Drosophila melanogaster: one gene and its partners. The protein of the gene in region 1 interacts with the protein of each later gene in a pairwise test. Each region holds a gene or a part of one and is shown in the gene's direction. Other genes may lie near its edges.

Region 1 (4,717 bases):
ATGATAACTCTAAGTTGTTTAGAAGACTTTGATCACTAAACATATTCTTTCGTTTTATTTCTAATAATTTGCCATCGCTTATATGGCCAAACCTCTCATGCCATAAACGAAAATTATTTTTATGCTTAGCATTTATAGAATATGCTTGAAAATTGATCACAGGTACATTGTTTAACATACCTGAATTTTTGACAACCATTAACCCATTTTTCGAAATGGTTACACCGCTTTTGTCAAATTCGATCGACATTCCTGCCTCTTGGAGACGCTTTACGGACATCAAATTACCAGCAGCTTCCTTACAAAAGAGTACATCCTCCAGTGTAATCTCATGGTCATTCCGTAGTCGGACAATACCACGCTTAGTGGCATAAATAAATTCGCCTTGCTTGGCCACTGCAATCTTAAGTGGAGGCACAACCTCCACACTGTCGGTATACAGCGACTCATCATTTATAAGATGGTCACTAGCACCAGAATCAAGGACAAACCCGCAGTTGTCCATCACTGAAGTATTATTCACTTCTTTTACCATAAACGCAATGCCGTGTGATGTTGCAGTTTGAACTTGTTTTTCATTTTCTTTATTTTTATTATTTAATATTCTTTTATAATGGAAACAATCTTTTTTAATGTGGCCTTCTCTGCCACAGTGGTGACACTTGACTTTATACTTTGAATTTCCCTTGAATATTTTCTTTGGTTTAGTTACCCGATTTTTAAACAAATTATTTTTATAAGTGTTATTATTGTTGTGCACGATCGCGTTCATAACTTTCTTGCTTGTATCGTTGTGGTCATTTTTAATTTTAATTTCTTGATCCAGCAATCTATTTTTCACAAACGCCAATGTCAAATTTTCTTCAGATAATGTCTCTATCGCTGTAATAATTCCATCGTAACACGAAGGCAATGTGATCAGTAGATGAGAAATTTTATCCATCTCTTCTATTTTTGCACCAGCTGCCAACAATTCACTTATAAGTTCGTCAAAAATATGAAAATGGCTTAATAGTGACATCTCACTTGATAGCTTCAGAGAAAGCAAACGTTTTCGCAGCGCCAGTTGCGACGCCAAACTTTTTCGTTCATAAACGGCGTCCAAATTCTCAAGAATCTGACGCGCCGTAATGTCGCTTGTTGCGAAATTTAAAAACGAGTCGCTTAGGTACTCTATTATTGTACTTTTTGCACAACGCTCTGCCTTTTTCCAGGAGTCATCTACCTCGTTAGGCATTAAACCATCAACTACTTTAAGCACATCTTGCTCGGCTAAAAGAGCCCTAATTCTAAATTTCCAAATCGCGTACTTCTCGCCATCAAACGGCTTAATATTACGTTTAGCCTTGTCCATTTTTCACTCAAATTCTGAGAAGGAAATAATTTCACAAGAATGTGAAAAAAAAAGCTATTTCACAAGAATGTGAAAAAATGCTATTTCACAATTTATTTTCACAATCTTTAATTCACAATTTAATTGTTTATTAGGCATGGACTGGGCCCATAACCTGTTGTAATTTATAATTTATATTTCCTTTCTTAATAAATAAATAAATAGTCAAGTTTATGTTTGAGTTTTATGATTTATATTTTAAGTTATTTCAACTGCAACACCAGCACCACGACCTACTCACAGCAAAAAACGTACAAGAAGGAAAGAAGGAATAAAAAGAGTGGTATTCTCTTACAATATGTTTTATGGCATAAAAGGTGTGGCCATTCATATCAAATATAAAGTAGTGTTGTTTAACGTTATTTTTGTAGGTTGAATAGTATATTCCAACAGTTTTAAACCAATTAAAACAGTAGGGGAACAACACTGATTGTTAGAAAAGCTGACAACTCTTGCCCAGACAACTCTGTCAAACAATCGATAAATCAGTCACTTGGCTCGGCTGTCATTACGTAAAAAACCATATAGTTTTTTTTCTGTGCTGCTTGTGAAGAAATTGTGTTCCACTAACTCTTCGCCTTACGCTAAAAATGGCTGACCCCAATTTGCACGACAATCAAGTAATAAAAGGTTTGTAGTCTATAGAATATTAATAAAAATTGAATTATTATCTACGCTTTTACTTTAGATGGTGAATCTTCCGAAAGCTGGCCTGCATTCAATAGGAGGTTGGTTTAGGTACATATATTCTGCAGAACTTAGTAATCCCATATGGCTTTTCCAGGAGCCCGAATCCCTCTTTCTCCAGCGTTGATCAACAAGGAAATAAAACTAAGGCACGAAGGCAGCACCAAAGCCGTTCACATTCTTTTCACTCAACAGCAAATAGTGTTCCTGAATCGCAGGGACCTCTTGAATCTCGATCTGATCTGAACGCCAAGACATCATCGAAAAGCGAACGACCATATATTTCCACATCCAATTCAAGCTGGACCTCTGAATCCAGCTCCGGAAGTCCACCAGATTCAGGAGAATCGTCTTCGTTTTCGACTTCATCTTCGCTTTCATCATCATTATTATGTGCTCCAGAACCGAAATCTATTAACTGGAGCAACCCGAAATCTTCTTCAAATATCTCAAATGAAACCACAACTTCTGCGGGACAGGTTGGCGGCATTCCGAGCTTTTCAGAAAGTGATGACCAGGGAAGTGTCGACTCTGAAACAGTCTCTAACATCAGAAAATCAACTTCCCTCATAGAACTTAAAGACAATTTCAATACAATCATTGACGAAGATAATAATCAACAGCTCTCTAACGAGGGCAACATATTGTCCCCTGGGACAGTTTCTATTTCCAATTTTCCAAGCTCGAATGAAGTAGCAAATGGATTGATTGATGAGATGGAACAAGACCTACTCTCGAAGCAACATTCTACATCGACCCCAATAAATAAAAGTAATACAATGGAAAAAGAATTGCTCCCATTGCAATGTTCTTCATTTCCACCGACATCATCCGAAGGTAATATTTTAAAACCCAGGGTCAATCCTGTGCCATTAGGTCCCAGCTCAAATACAGAGTATGAATCAAATGGAAAAAATTACAACATTGAAAAAAGGTTGTCCCAATTGCGATATAGTTCAGATGAAAAGGAATCCGATGTCTTGTCGTATGCCTCTTCTGATAGTCTCGATTTAAATTTCGATTACGGTGATAATGCAAAGAATCAAAATGGAAATGGAATGAATGGAGAGGTAAATGGTGATAAGGAGTCGCAAGTTCTTGATATAGAAGAACAACGCAAACCTTTTGAAAAAGATGTAGCAGTTAAGTTCCAGACCACCATAACAACCCAAAATTGTGGACTTCTAAAAGGTCCATCGCAGTTTCTGAAGATGCCTTATTTCATACCCGTGGAATCCAAGGCATACGTGCCTGAAACCTTTCAGGATCGCATGACTAAGAATGATTTGAAGGACGAACAGTCACGCGAGGATTTCATAAATCGTCTAAAGGCAACTGTTAGGTGGCGCGAGAACGAAAACAAAACCAAGGAGTCCAATGCGAAAATTGTTCGTTGGTCCGATGGCAGCGAAACCTTTCATGTGGGCAACGAGGTTTTCGATATGATGCATCACCCGGTGACCGTTAACCAGAACCATTTGTATGTTCGCCTGGGCAGCTTCTACCAGCCTCAGGGTTTGATCCAGAATAAGTTGACTGTGCGTCCCATGCTGGACTCCAATTTCGGACAGAGTCATGTCCAGGCCTTGCGTAATCGAGCCACGAATAAGCCACAGTCTGGGTGCGTTAAGGTGATAACGAACATGGGCTCCAATCCCGAGCACGATCATGATCGGCGCATGAAGGAGGAATTGTCCAAGCTTCGCCAGGAGGGTCGTGAAAAGAATCGCGCGCTTATGAAGAATCATCCTCCGAAACGTGACAGGCACTATCAAGGCTCCGATCACAATGTGGCCAAAAACGCAGGGGCATTCGAAGAGGACGACGGTGAGGGTGCAGATTGCGAGACAAGCTCTGCATTGGAGGTTACGAATGAACCAATGCGCAGCGAGGAAGATACCGAAGATCATATGGACGATGATGCTTCTTGGAGCTCACCCAATTCCCAGGAGGAAGGAAAGCAATCGAGTTCCGAAGACGATCTCCCGATCGGAGGTGCTATCCGCAAGCCCACGCGTTTGGTCTATTCCGGATCAGATTCCGACTAAATATTAAATAGCCGCTAGATACGAAATCTCAATAAACATGTCATTAGCCAGCACGCAACAAAGCGTAGAGCCAGGAGTAGCTGCAACTGATATTTAATTAACAATTTCTCGCGCCCACAGTGGGTGTACGGCCATTGCCTTAATTAGGGGGCGTGGCAGCTGAGGCAGGCAGACATTGGTAGTCGGCGCAGAAATTGCTAAAGGTCACAATGGGGTCGTGATTGCAGCGCGGAGCACTCTAACCCAAATGCCATTGTCCGACTGCCAAACTGGCCGGCATACCAACGCCCAAAGCAATTAATGGTAGGTGCATTGGATTGCTGCCTGGTGTTTTTGGGAGATTGGACTCGTGACTCGGTGGGTCGTATGTGGGTTTTGGGGGCGGCAAGTGGGTGGCTTTCTGGTCAGCGGCTCAGTCGGACTTTGCTCTTTGATTCCAGCTTTATATTTGTCACCGCCATCTCAGGTAGCCGAAATAAGATACATACATACTTAGCTTGTTAAAAATTTGAAATTAATAAGTACTTTATTTGTTAGCAAAAGGCGTTATCCTGAAAATAGTTATACATTTGGTTGTTAACTATGATTA
Region 2 (3,563 bases), on another chromosome or scaffold:
TATCTCTAGCTGCGGAAAATCATCATTCGCTACTTAGCCAACGAATACCCCTTTAAGCTAAGAAAAAATTGAGTAAAGTTTGCGCTGTCGTCTAAGGATGTTTTCAGCAACTACTCTTTGCCAAAATATATATTTGATAGCAGAGACAAATTGCATCTAAAAATGTGTAATCCCCCGGAGAAGTGTCCCCCGTTAAGATAAAGTATATCAATTTATATATTTTTGGATTGCCCGTAACATATTTCCGGCCATTAAACGCAAGCGTGTTAGCTGGGCTCCCTTTTCGCTAACTGGATTATGTGCAATCCAAAATGTTTGTCGGTTCATCACGAAGGCCATCAACAAATTAGTCAAAAACTCGAATAAAAATTTGCTTAGCTGTCGTAAATCCCGGGACACAAAGGCTAATCGGGCGGCTAATCAGGCGCAGCCATCATCAGACCATCAGCCCATCAGGGTATCAGCCATCAAAGGCGGTCCGAATCCTTTGGCCCGTTGGAGGGGCTCAAGTGAAAGGCTTGCCGAAGGAGCAGGAGCACTGAAAAACGCAAACGGTGGAGGCCCAGCCTGCGTGCCAGGACATCATTATGCTAAAATATTGCTCGGCGGTACTTAATCAACACAAAGGCGGCGGAGGCGGCTGCCACGCCCCGCTGTCGATTTAATTGCCCCACAGACACTTCAATGTCAGCATAAATTAAATTTTGATTTCGCCGCTCCGGCGGCTCTAATGAAATTCCGCACGCCAAATTGCACAGCCCTCAGAATGCGGCATCCACATGGCGTCCACACCTCCCATCTCAGCAGCTCCACCTACTGCTCGACCTCCTGCTCATCCTCTTAATTTGCCTGCCCCCTCGCAACCCATGATGATGATGAGCTCGTGATGTGGCGGCCGGAATTGAGTTGGAGGCCCAAGTTAGTCGTTGCTCAGCCATTGTCGCATCAATTAATTTCGGCACGAGCCACGAGAAGGACTCCAACCACTCTTATCAACACCATGAGCCACCCTCCATCATCTACACTGCAAATTAGTCCGGATTATTCATATGTATTTCAGTTGGAAGGGGGCAGTTATTATATATCCCTACCATGATATATATGTATATACCAATCAAACTTTAAGAAGTAATATCACTCATACTTGTAGTATCGCCTCAAATCCTTTCCCATTTCTCCGAGTGCAGAATTTCCATTTTCGGCCACCACAACAACAGTTTGCAATTGTATTTGGAGGCGTGGCACGTAATGAGCTTAGCCCTGGCCAAAACCTAAGGTGGCCAAGTCAGAGTCCATTATGGCCGAGTGGCCCGCATCTTGCGGATGTTCGTGGGGGTTAACGAGGGGCAAGTGGGGGTAAATGGGGGTAAATGTCAATGAGCCAGTCAATTTGAGGTGGGCACATCGACGAACTAAAACTTATTAAGGACACGCTTCGGTCTATCGAAATCCTTTTAGTTTATCAACTCCTTAGTGAGCTTCTATTGCACAACTAGTTATCGATAGTTTATGATGAATGAAATGAATGAAATATATTTTTAAATTTTTCCACGGTTGTGTAAATGTAATTAAAGTTTAGTTTTCATCGTTTTCCACTCTCTAGCCACAGGCGATAATCTATCCACTTCCACCAGGAGACGCTATCGGCACCTAGTTTTTCCACGCCGAGCTGTCAACTTGCCGCTGACGGGTCTGTCAGAGTGAAAAGTGACTGACGAAGCACAAATCGGAAAACTTGTCGAGCATTTGGAACGTGAAAGCAGGCAGAGCAGGGAAGTGCACGAAGAGCCAAGAAAAAATCAGAAAACTCCTCCATTATGGCATCTGGGTTCGTGAACAATAAGCGCAAGCGGGATGAAGCGCAGTAAGTATGGGGAATCTCTTCCTGTCAATTCAAACTCGAGGACCCAATTTCAACTAAAAAAAAAAAAACACACACACTTCTCAGCAATCAGTTCATCTGTCCCATTGTCTACACAAATGAGTTGCCCACTTATCCAAAGGATTGCAAGTTTCTGCCCTGTGGCCAGAATATCCAGGAGTACTGCAAGGAGCCGGTTTCGATTCCCAAACTGGACACTTGTTTTTCGCTAAATTTCAAAGGACTTCATGAGCTATTCTCCGTTAATTTGATGGATCAGTCGGCTTACGATAAGCTTTCCGAGAATGTGCAGCCAATGAATCCCAGAGAAGCTGATCTACTTAAGGACATAAGAGCCCTAGACTGGGACTTCGCCAGACTCGAACCAAGTCGCGCTCAGGAATGCGCCAAGATGTTCGCCAAGGAGCGAGTGCATCCACCTCTCCCAGGACTACAGCGTTCTGTGGCGGTGCCCAAGGCCCCAAAAGACCTGCAGCCGGTCAGCCTGGAGCAACAAAAGGCGATGATTGATGCGAGCTTCAAGGATATTGGCAAACCCCTCTACCGACATCCCACCAATCCGGGTAGCAATGCCTACCCTGTGCAGGTCTTGCCAGTCTTTCCCGATACGGATTTGCAGAAATATAGCTTCGTCCAGATGAGTTTTGATAATCCACCCCAAAATAGCAACCAGGGACTAATCAGGGACTGCGGAAGCTGTCTGATCAACTTCAGTTTCGTCCAGGACATTGCGGACTCTACCGAAAAGGTTTACGTATCCGACCATCGCTACAGAGAGGAAAAAGCCGACGATAGCTTGGAGCGCGGTGAGGGTTACATACTCCGCGAGGAGAATGACGCCATCTTTTACGTTGGTGTCGACAAATACATCAAATTAAGGCGGGAACGTCCACGCCCACACGTTTCGGCTAACAAGTTTCTGCTGGTGAGTCTCGGAAAAGCACTCTCAAATTTATGACAATGCGTTTGTATATAACATTGCTTTTCTAGAAGGTCCAGCGTGTGGGAATGAATACAACTACCGATTAAAGAACAATATAAGAACATTTAATTGGATGTACTTCAGAAGCTTATGTTATGAAAATAAAAATATCAAAATGCTTGGTGGAAATTTTCCATCTGATGACCATTAAAATAATAAAAACAAATTTCGAATGCTCCATAAATGTCTTAACTGGTTTCCACAGTGTTGTTCGCTTTCGTTAAAAATAATTATTGAAAACATCTACTTAAATTGAATTTTAGCATCGAAAGTTAATCCGAAATGTCAGTTGATTTCTGCGTTGGTTGCGAAAGTCGAGCAAAAGTTGCCAGGCAACAGGCTCAAACTGAAGAAGTGACTCCGCCCTGGCCACCACCCGGCACCACCTCCCCTTCCACTTCTCCATCCACGTCAAGTGATGCAGCATCTTTGGGGCAATCCTGGCAAGAGCTGTCATGACGATTCCAAGGCATTTCTAGGGACCTGCCCACACAAGCAAGAATATACTCGTACTCAAGTATACGTTTGCCGGCGAGAAATAGACAATTTTTATGACGTTTCCTTCGAGCCACGATTTGTACTTTACTTTCCCCGCCACTGTGGTTCACTGCGGAATCCTATTTCATTTGGCCAGACGCTCGGAATTTGTTGTGGCAGCGATTTGGCAGGAAACCCCATGCCATGCCATTCCATTCCCCA
Region 3 (5,462 bases), 6.3 Mb from region 1:
AAGTCAATGAGGACTTAAATAATAATAATTTTGACAGTAAACCACAAATAATATTTTCTGAAACTTGTGAATTTTGTTAATACTTATGGTCAAATGTAATGTCGGGTCTACTATTTAATTTCCAGTAAATTTTATTTCTTAACAGCCTGTTAACTCCGGTGCATTTACAGAACTCTGCCCACTTAACAGCACGCTCCGTAATAGTTGGCAACTCAATGCAACACGTGTGGACGATAAACAGCTGTTCGGGCGGCAATTTAGTGGAAGCGAAACAAAACCAAATTCGTTAACTAAATCTTAAAAATGTCAGCTAATAAGCAAAAGAAATTGAGTACCATGGAGGTGGACCCCAACGAGGATGTCTCCAGTTCCAGCGAGGATGATGACGACGACGAACCGCATCCAGATGCCTATAAGGGAAACGAGGTAATCTAAGTGCCTCCAAAATATGAAAAGCAAATGTGTTTCAAAATTAATATCCGGCTAGGAGGTGCAAATCGACTTTGAGGGACGAGCTCCAGTAGATCCCGATGCCCAGGGAATCTCTCAACTCCTGCAGCGACTATTCCTTCGTGCCCACATCAACTGCAACCAAATGGCGGATTTGATCATAGGTGAGCACTCCAAGGTACTATCTTGATCTATCTATCAGCACAACTTTTTTTGTTTCCAGCCCAAAATTTTATAGGCAGTGTGATCTGCCAGTGCGACGACGAGGGCACCGAAAGCGAAACGGAGGACGACAACATGGTCGAGGATGGCACCATCTTTGGAATCACCTCTGTGCTGAACCTGACCGCCAAAAAGGATCAGCCCAGCATCGCCCAGTTAAGGACCTACATACTGGATCGCGCCAAGACGCACGCTTCTCCGGAGGTTCAGCAGCAGTTGAAGGAGATTCTAGACAGCGAGCAGCGCCATGTGGGATTCTTGATCAACGAGCGCTTTATCAATATCCCTGCCCAGATCTCCGTGCCACTGCTGCAGAGTTTGCAGCAAGAAATCGAAGCCGCCAAGGCCAAGAAAATGAAATACGACTTTGGCACTCTGCTGCTGCTGGTTAAGTTCTACAGGAAAGAGTCGAAGAAGGGCAAACCGGGCGAGGACGTGTACACCAACGCTGAGGATGAGTTGCTTTCGGATCGGGCTAAGTTCTCCTTCGAGTATTCCATGGCCTCTGAAACCGATTCGGGCATGTCTGGCGATTGGCTGGAAGGCGATGCCGTGATGACGCCCTACAGGAAACTCCTGGTCCTGGAGGCCAAAAAACTTCCGCAGCTTATTGACGATATACAACGCTTTATTAATGGCGAATAAATATTTTTTACATTTAAAACTGCTGTGTTATTTGGCCTTAATATAACACCCCGACAAATATCTAATTAAGAAGTAATAATGTCCGGTCTCTAACGACCGATAAGCTTCTATTTCTTTGTAGTCCCATACAAAGAGTATCAAAAATTCGAACCGAAAGCTTTCCACATCCTTTATGACAATTGGCAACGCGGGCAAACCACAAACAGCTGTCACTTGGCCGGCATTTGAAAGCTTCGCACATGCCGGCTGGTCTACTGTGAAAAAAAAACCTGGTTGCCATTCCTTTGTTTTTTGCCACTGGTTAGTTTTGGCCCAGAAACTGCATCCACCGTGGACGTGACTGGCAAGAGGAACCCACAATAACAATTCCGAAGACCGAGCGACGTGAGTAGACTTTGCCTTTATTGTTTACAAGTTATATCCGAGTTCTAGAATTACGTACATAGCGAGCATACTGGCGATTATTCATCGCTCGTGCGATTTGTTTTCATTCGAAAACGCAAGTAGCAATTAAAAAAAAAAAACCTAAAGCCCGGCTCGCTAGTAAAATGTATAAAAAGCTTGGCCACCCAGCCAGAACATTGCAAATCGTCGCGGAGAGCTATCACAATCGCTCCTTATCGCCAGCTTTCCGTTCCAGATCCCGCTCCCAAGTTTCCAGTTTCCAGCTGCAGCGCTTTGTTCCCATCAGGGAGGTTCAGTGACGCCCCACTTGCCGATCAACCAAGTCGCGTGAGCTGCCTGCGAAAAAGTACTCATCATGGGTATCGAAAAGTGAGTATTTATTACCAACAGTTATTAGAGGGTGTGTTTTAAGTTAGCGCGGATCAGTTATCTAGCCACCGCTTAGCGACCGATTGGAAAAGCTCTCAAAGATTCGCCATCTTTTACAGTGAGGGTTAGTCGCTTAGCATCCATCAATTGCTATCTTATTTACCTTTCCCATAATTCCAAAACGAAATTAGAATGTTTTTAGTACTGCATATCTCAGCGTTTATCAGTTTTAATTAGTTGCCGGCAAGGAATAGATGTCATGAAAATTCCAAACTTTATCTTTTCCCAAAATAAAAACAATGTTTGGCGAAATACTGTATAAAAGTTAAAGGGGGGAGGTCACTTAATTTTATCATTATTACTTAGATAACGAGTTCTTGCTACTTCTGGAAACAGATATATATAGATCAACTTTTATTGTTTGATATGGGGCACTTCAAAAGATAACACAATTAAATGGTCAGCGACATAGGATTATTCTCCAAAATATTATAGACCCAGTTACCTAAGGATTGGTATTTAGTAGAAACACTTGAATAAGATTACAAATATTCTAAATAAGTACTTTAACACCATTTGTGCTAATACTTGGTACACTTGTTTCTAAATTGGAAATCGGTTTGTGATTATGGTCATTTCGAAAGCTTATCGCGATTCTTTATAGCACTTCGAGTTAAGATAAGCCCAGCGCCAGGAATGAGGGTAAACGAAAGGGGAACACACTGAAACATGGCCATGGTTGCTCCTAATACAGTGGGGACATTTTCTTTTGAAATAATAAATTGAAATACAAAGGCAACAGGCTGTTATGCAATATGAACGACTGCATCAGTTAATAAAGCAAATGTGACGTGATAAAATTCAATTCAATTAAACGCTATTGCACATTTAGTTGACACCCAGAAATGTTTCTTAATGAATACCAATAACGATTCCGTTGCGCACTTTAACTCTACTCTACGTGTGCCCCTCCAGAATTCTACCATGCACCCTCCGGCTGAACAAGCTGATGAGTCTGGCCGGCAACGACTGCCTGTGCATCATCGATCGCAATGCGGTTCCCAATGAACTGAAGGCCACCTTCGAGGAGCACCGCAAATTCGACAAGTCCTTCGACAGCAGCATATCCTGCTTTAAGGTGCCCAACGTGGATCAACCTGTGGTCTATGCCCCCGTCTCCGAGCTCACCGACTACGACGATGTGAGGAGCTACCAGGAGGCGGCCAAGCGGTCCATGGAGAAGGTTCTCAAGGTGGGTTTTTTTTTTCTATACATATTGTGTGAATTATGAAAGAAAATGTATATGTATTCTTTGCCAGGCTGGATTCCACACGCCGTTGCTGTTTGTGCCCAAGGTTAAGCGCTTCCCCGAGGTCGAACTCTGCACCGTTCTGGGAGCTCTGGAGCAGCTTTATGTGGTAATATGGATTATGTTTACTTTTATTTCAATCAATGTGCTAAAACACGTTTTTTAGCCCATTCAATTGCGCGAGGCAGGAACTTTGAAGGACCCCCGTGTGACCACGCTCAGTGTCCAGATCGATGATCCAAGGGCCGAAGCTATTTTCCAGGAAGCTCTCATTCTGGAGGCCGGTCGCTTTGTGGCCCGCGACATCGGAGTTGGGGACCCGGAGCGCATGACGCCCATCCAGGTGGAGAAGTACATCAAGCCGTTGTTCGACAAGCTCAACGTGAATGTGATCAGTGACACCCAGGTGTTGCAGAAGGAGTATCCCCTGTTTGCCGCCGTAAACCGGGCTGCTGATGCAGTGGAGCGTCATCGTGGTCGCATCATTTTCCTGGAGTACAAGCCTCCAAAGCCGGCGAGAAAAACTCTGATGCTGGTCGGCAAGGGTGTTACCTATGACACCGGTGGTGCTGACATCAAGGCCGGTGGTGTGATGGCCGGTATGTCGCGCGACAAGTGTGGAGCGGCTGCTGTCGCTGGATTCATGCAGGTGGTCAGTCAACTGCAACCGGATGATATCCATGTTGTGGCTGCCCTGTGCATGGTGCGCAATTCCGTGGGCGAGGAGTGCTACGTGGCCGATGAGGTTATCACCTCGCGAGCTGGTCTTCATGTGAGGATTGGAAATACTGATGCCGAGGGTCGCATGTGCATGACCGATGCCCTGTGCCGCATGAAGGAGTTGGTCGTGGAGCAGAATCTCCCGGATCCGCATCTTTTCACCATTGCCACCTTGACTGGTCACGCCTTCATCTCGGCAGGTGAGGGTCAGTCGATTGCCATCGATAACAGCGTGGCCCATCGGGAGGATCACGCCAGAAGACTGCAGGCTGCTGGACAGGCCTTCGGAGAGCCCTTCGAAGTGTCCATTCTCCGTCCCAGTGACTTCTCTTTTAACGCTGGAAAGGTGATTGGCGAGGATTTGGTGCAGGCCAATAATGCCCCGTCGGTGAGGACTCCTCGCGGTCACCAGGTGCCCGCCGCCTTTATGATTAAGGCTTCTGGACTGGACAAACACGGGTTGGATTCAATGCTGCCCATTAAGTACACCCATATTGATATCGCCGGCAGTGCCGGTGAGCACCCAGCGATGCCCACAGCTGCCCCTCTTGTTTCCCTGGTGAAGACCCATCTGCAGAAGTAAATCATGTCCACCTAATATTCAGGAGGATGTGTACACGATCACCACAAACAGTACTTATACACCCACGTGCTTAGCTAACCAACAATATTATCCTACTAACTGCATCACTGTTTTTTAATAAAGGCAAAACCGAGTTCAGATTGTATTCATAAATGTATGTCACTAATTTGGTAATCGTTTACAAATAAATGTGAAAATGATTTGTTTTTTTCCTTAAGCTTACAAAGCAAATATCTCATTATATTCATCAACATGGAAATATAAACATTATATCATCCCATTATAGAGAATAACCACCCTACATATATTTGTTAAGTATACAAGAAAGCCGCGTGGGTATTCGGTCTTTTTTATTTCTTTTTTATTATTACTGCATTTCCCAGCTGCATTGTTTGCATAATTGGCGGGTGCCCTGCATTTCGAGCTCTTGTTGGCCATCTACGGTATGGCTCGTACTCCTGCTCTTCCCCTTTCGCAGCCTTTTCTCTTCAGCTTTGCAGCGCCTTCTTTTTTTGTAGCTTGGCCCACAGCCTAGAACCCGTTAGTCGCTTCTTGGCCATGCTCTTCGCTTTGGGCCCCGTTCCCGGGAGCTTGGCCCAGCAACTTGGCGTGGATTGGCTTGGTTGGGGGATGGGGATGTGGATGGGGCCCGCTTGTCAGCTGTCGCATGTGTCTTGGTACCGTTATTGCCTGGCTTTGGAAACTCGGTCAAGAGTGTCTCATTCATGCTGTGATTGCATAATATACCGTTGGCTCCCG

Evidence for each region. The genes of interacting proteins can lie anywhere in the genome.
Region 2: the proteins of CG10887 (region 1) and CG12674 interact in a two-hybrid assay, tested with the Drosophila melanogaster proteins (one large-scale study listed by BioGRID).
Region 3: the proteins of CG10887 (region 1) and Dip-B interact in a two-hybrid assay, tested with the Drosophila melanogaster proteins (one large-scale study listed by BioGRID).

Annotation. Positions count from the first base shown.
Region 1 is NT_033777.3:20,112,956-20,117,672, forward strand, and holds CG10887 (uncharacterized protein), read left to right. Parts: upstream 1-1,882; 5' UTR 1,883-1,983; coding exon 1,984-2,023; intron 2,024-2,081; coding exon 2,082-2,121; intron 2,122-2,177; coding exon 2,178-4,128; 3' UTR 4,129-4,184; downstream 4,185-4,717.
Region 2 is NT_033779.5:2,078,260-2,081,822, forward strand, and holds CG12674 (uncharacterized protein), read left to right. Parts: upstream 1-1,659; 5' UTR 1,660-1,817; coding exon 1,818-1,864; intron 1,865-1,948; coding exon 1,949-2,807; intron 2,808-2,872; coding exon 2,873-2,911; 3' UTR 2,912-3,027; downstream 3,028-3,563.
Region 3 is NT_033777.3:13,780,751-13,786,212, forward strand, and holds Dip-B (dipeptidase B), read left to right. Parts: upstream 1-1,537; 5' UTR 1,538-1,701; intron 1,702-1,889; exon of another isoform or gene 1,890-1,944; 5' UTR 1,945-2,077; coding exon 2,078-2,091; intron 2,092-3,066; coding exon 3,067-3,343; intron 3,344-3,410; coding exon 3,411-3,509; intron 3,510-3,566; coding exon 3,567-4,703; 3' UTR 4,704-4,926; downstream 4,927-5,462. Other genes in the region: CG9286 (uncharacterized protein), read left to right, coding at 304-426, 488-614, 674-1,317.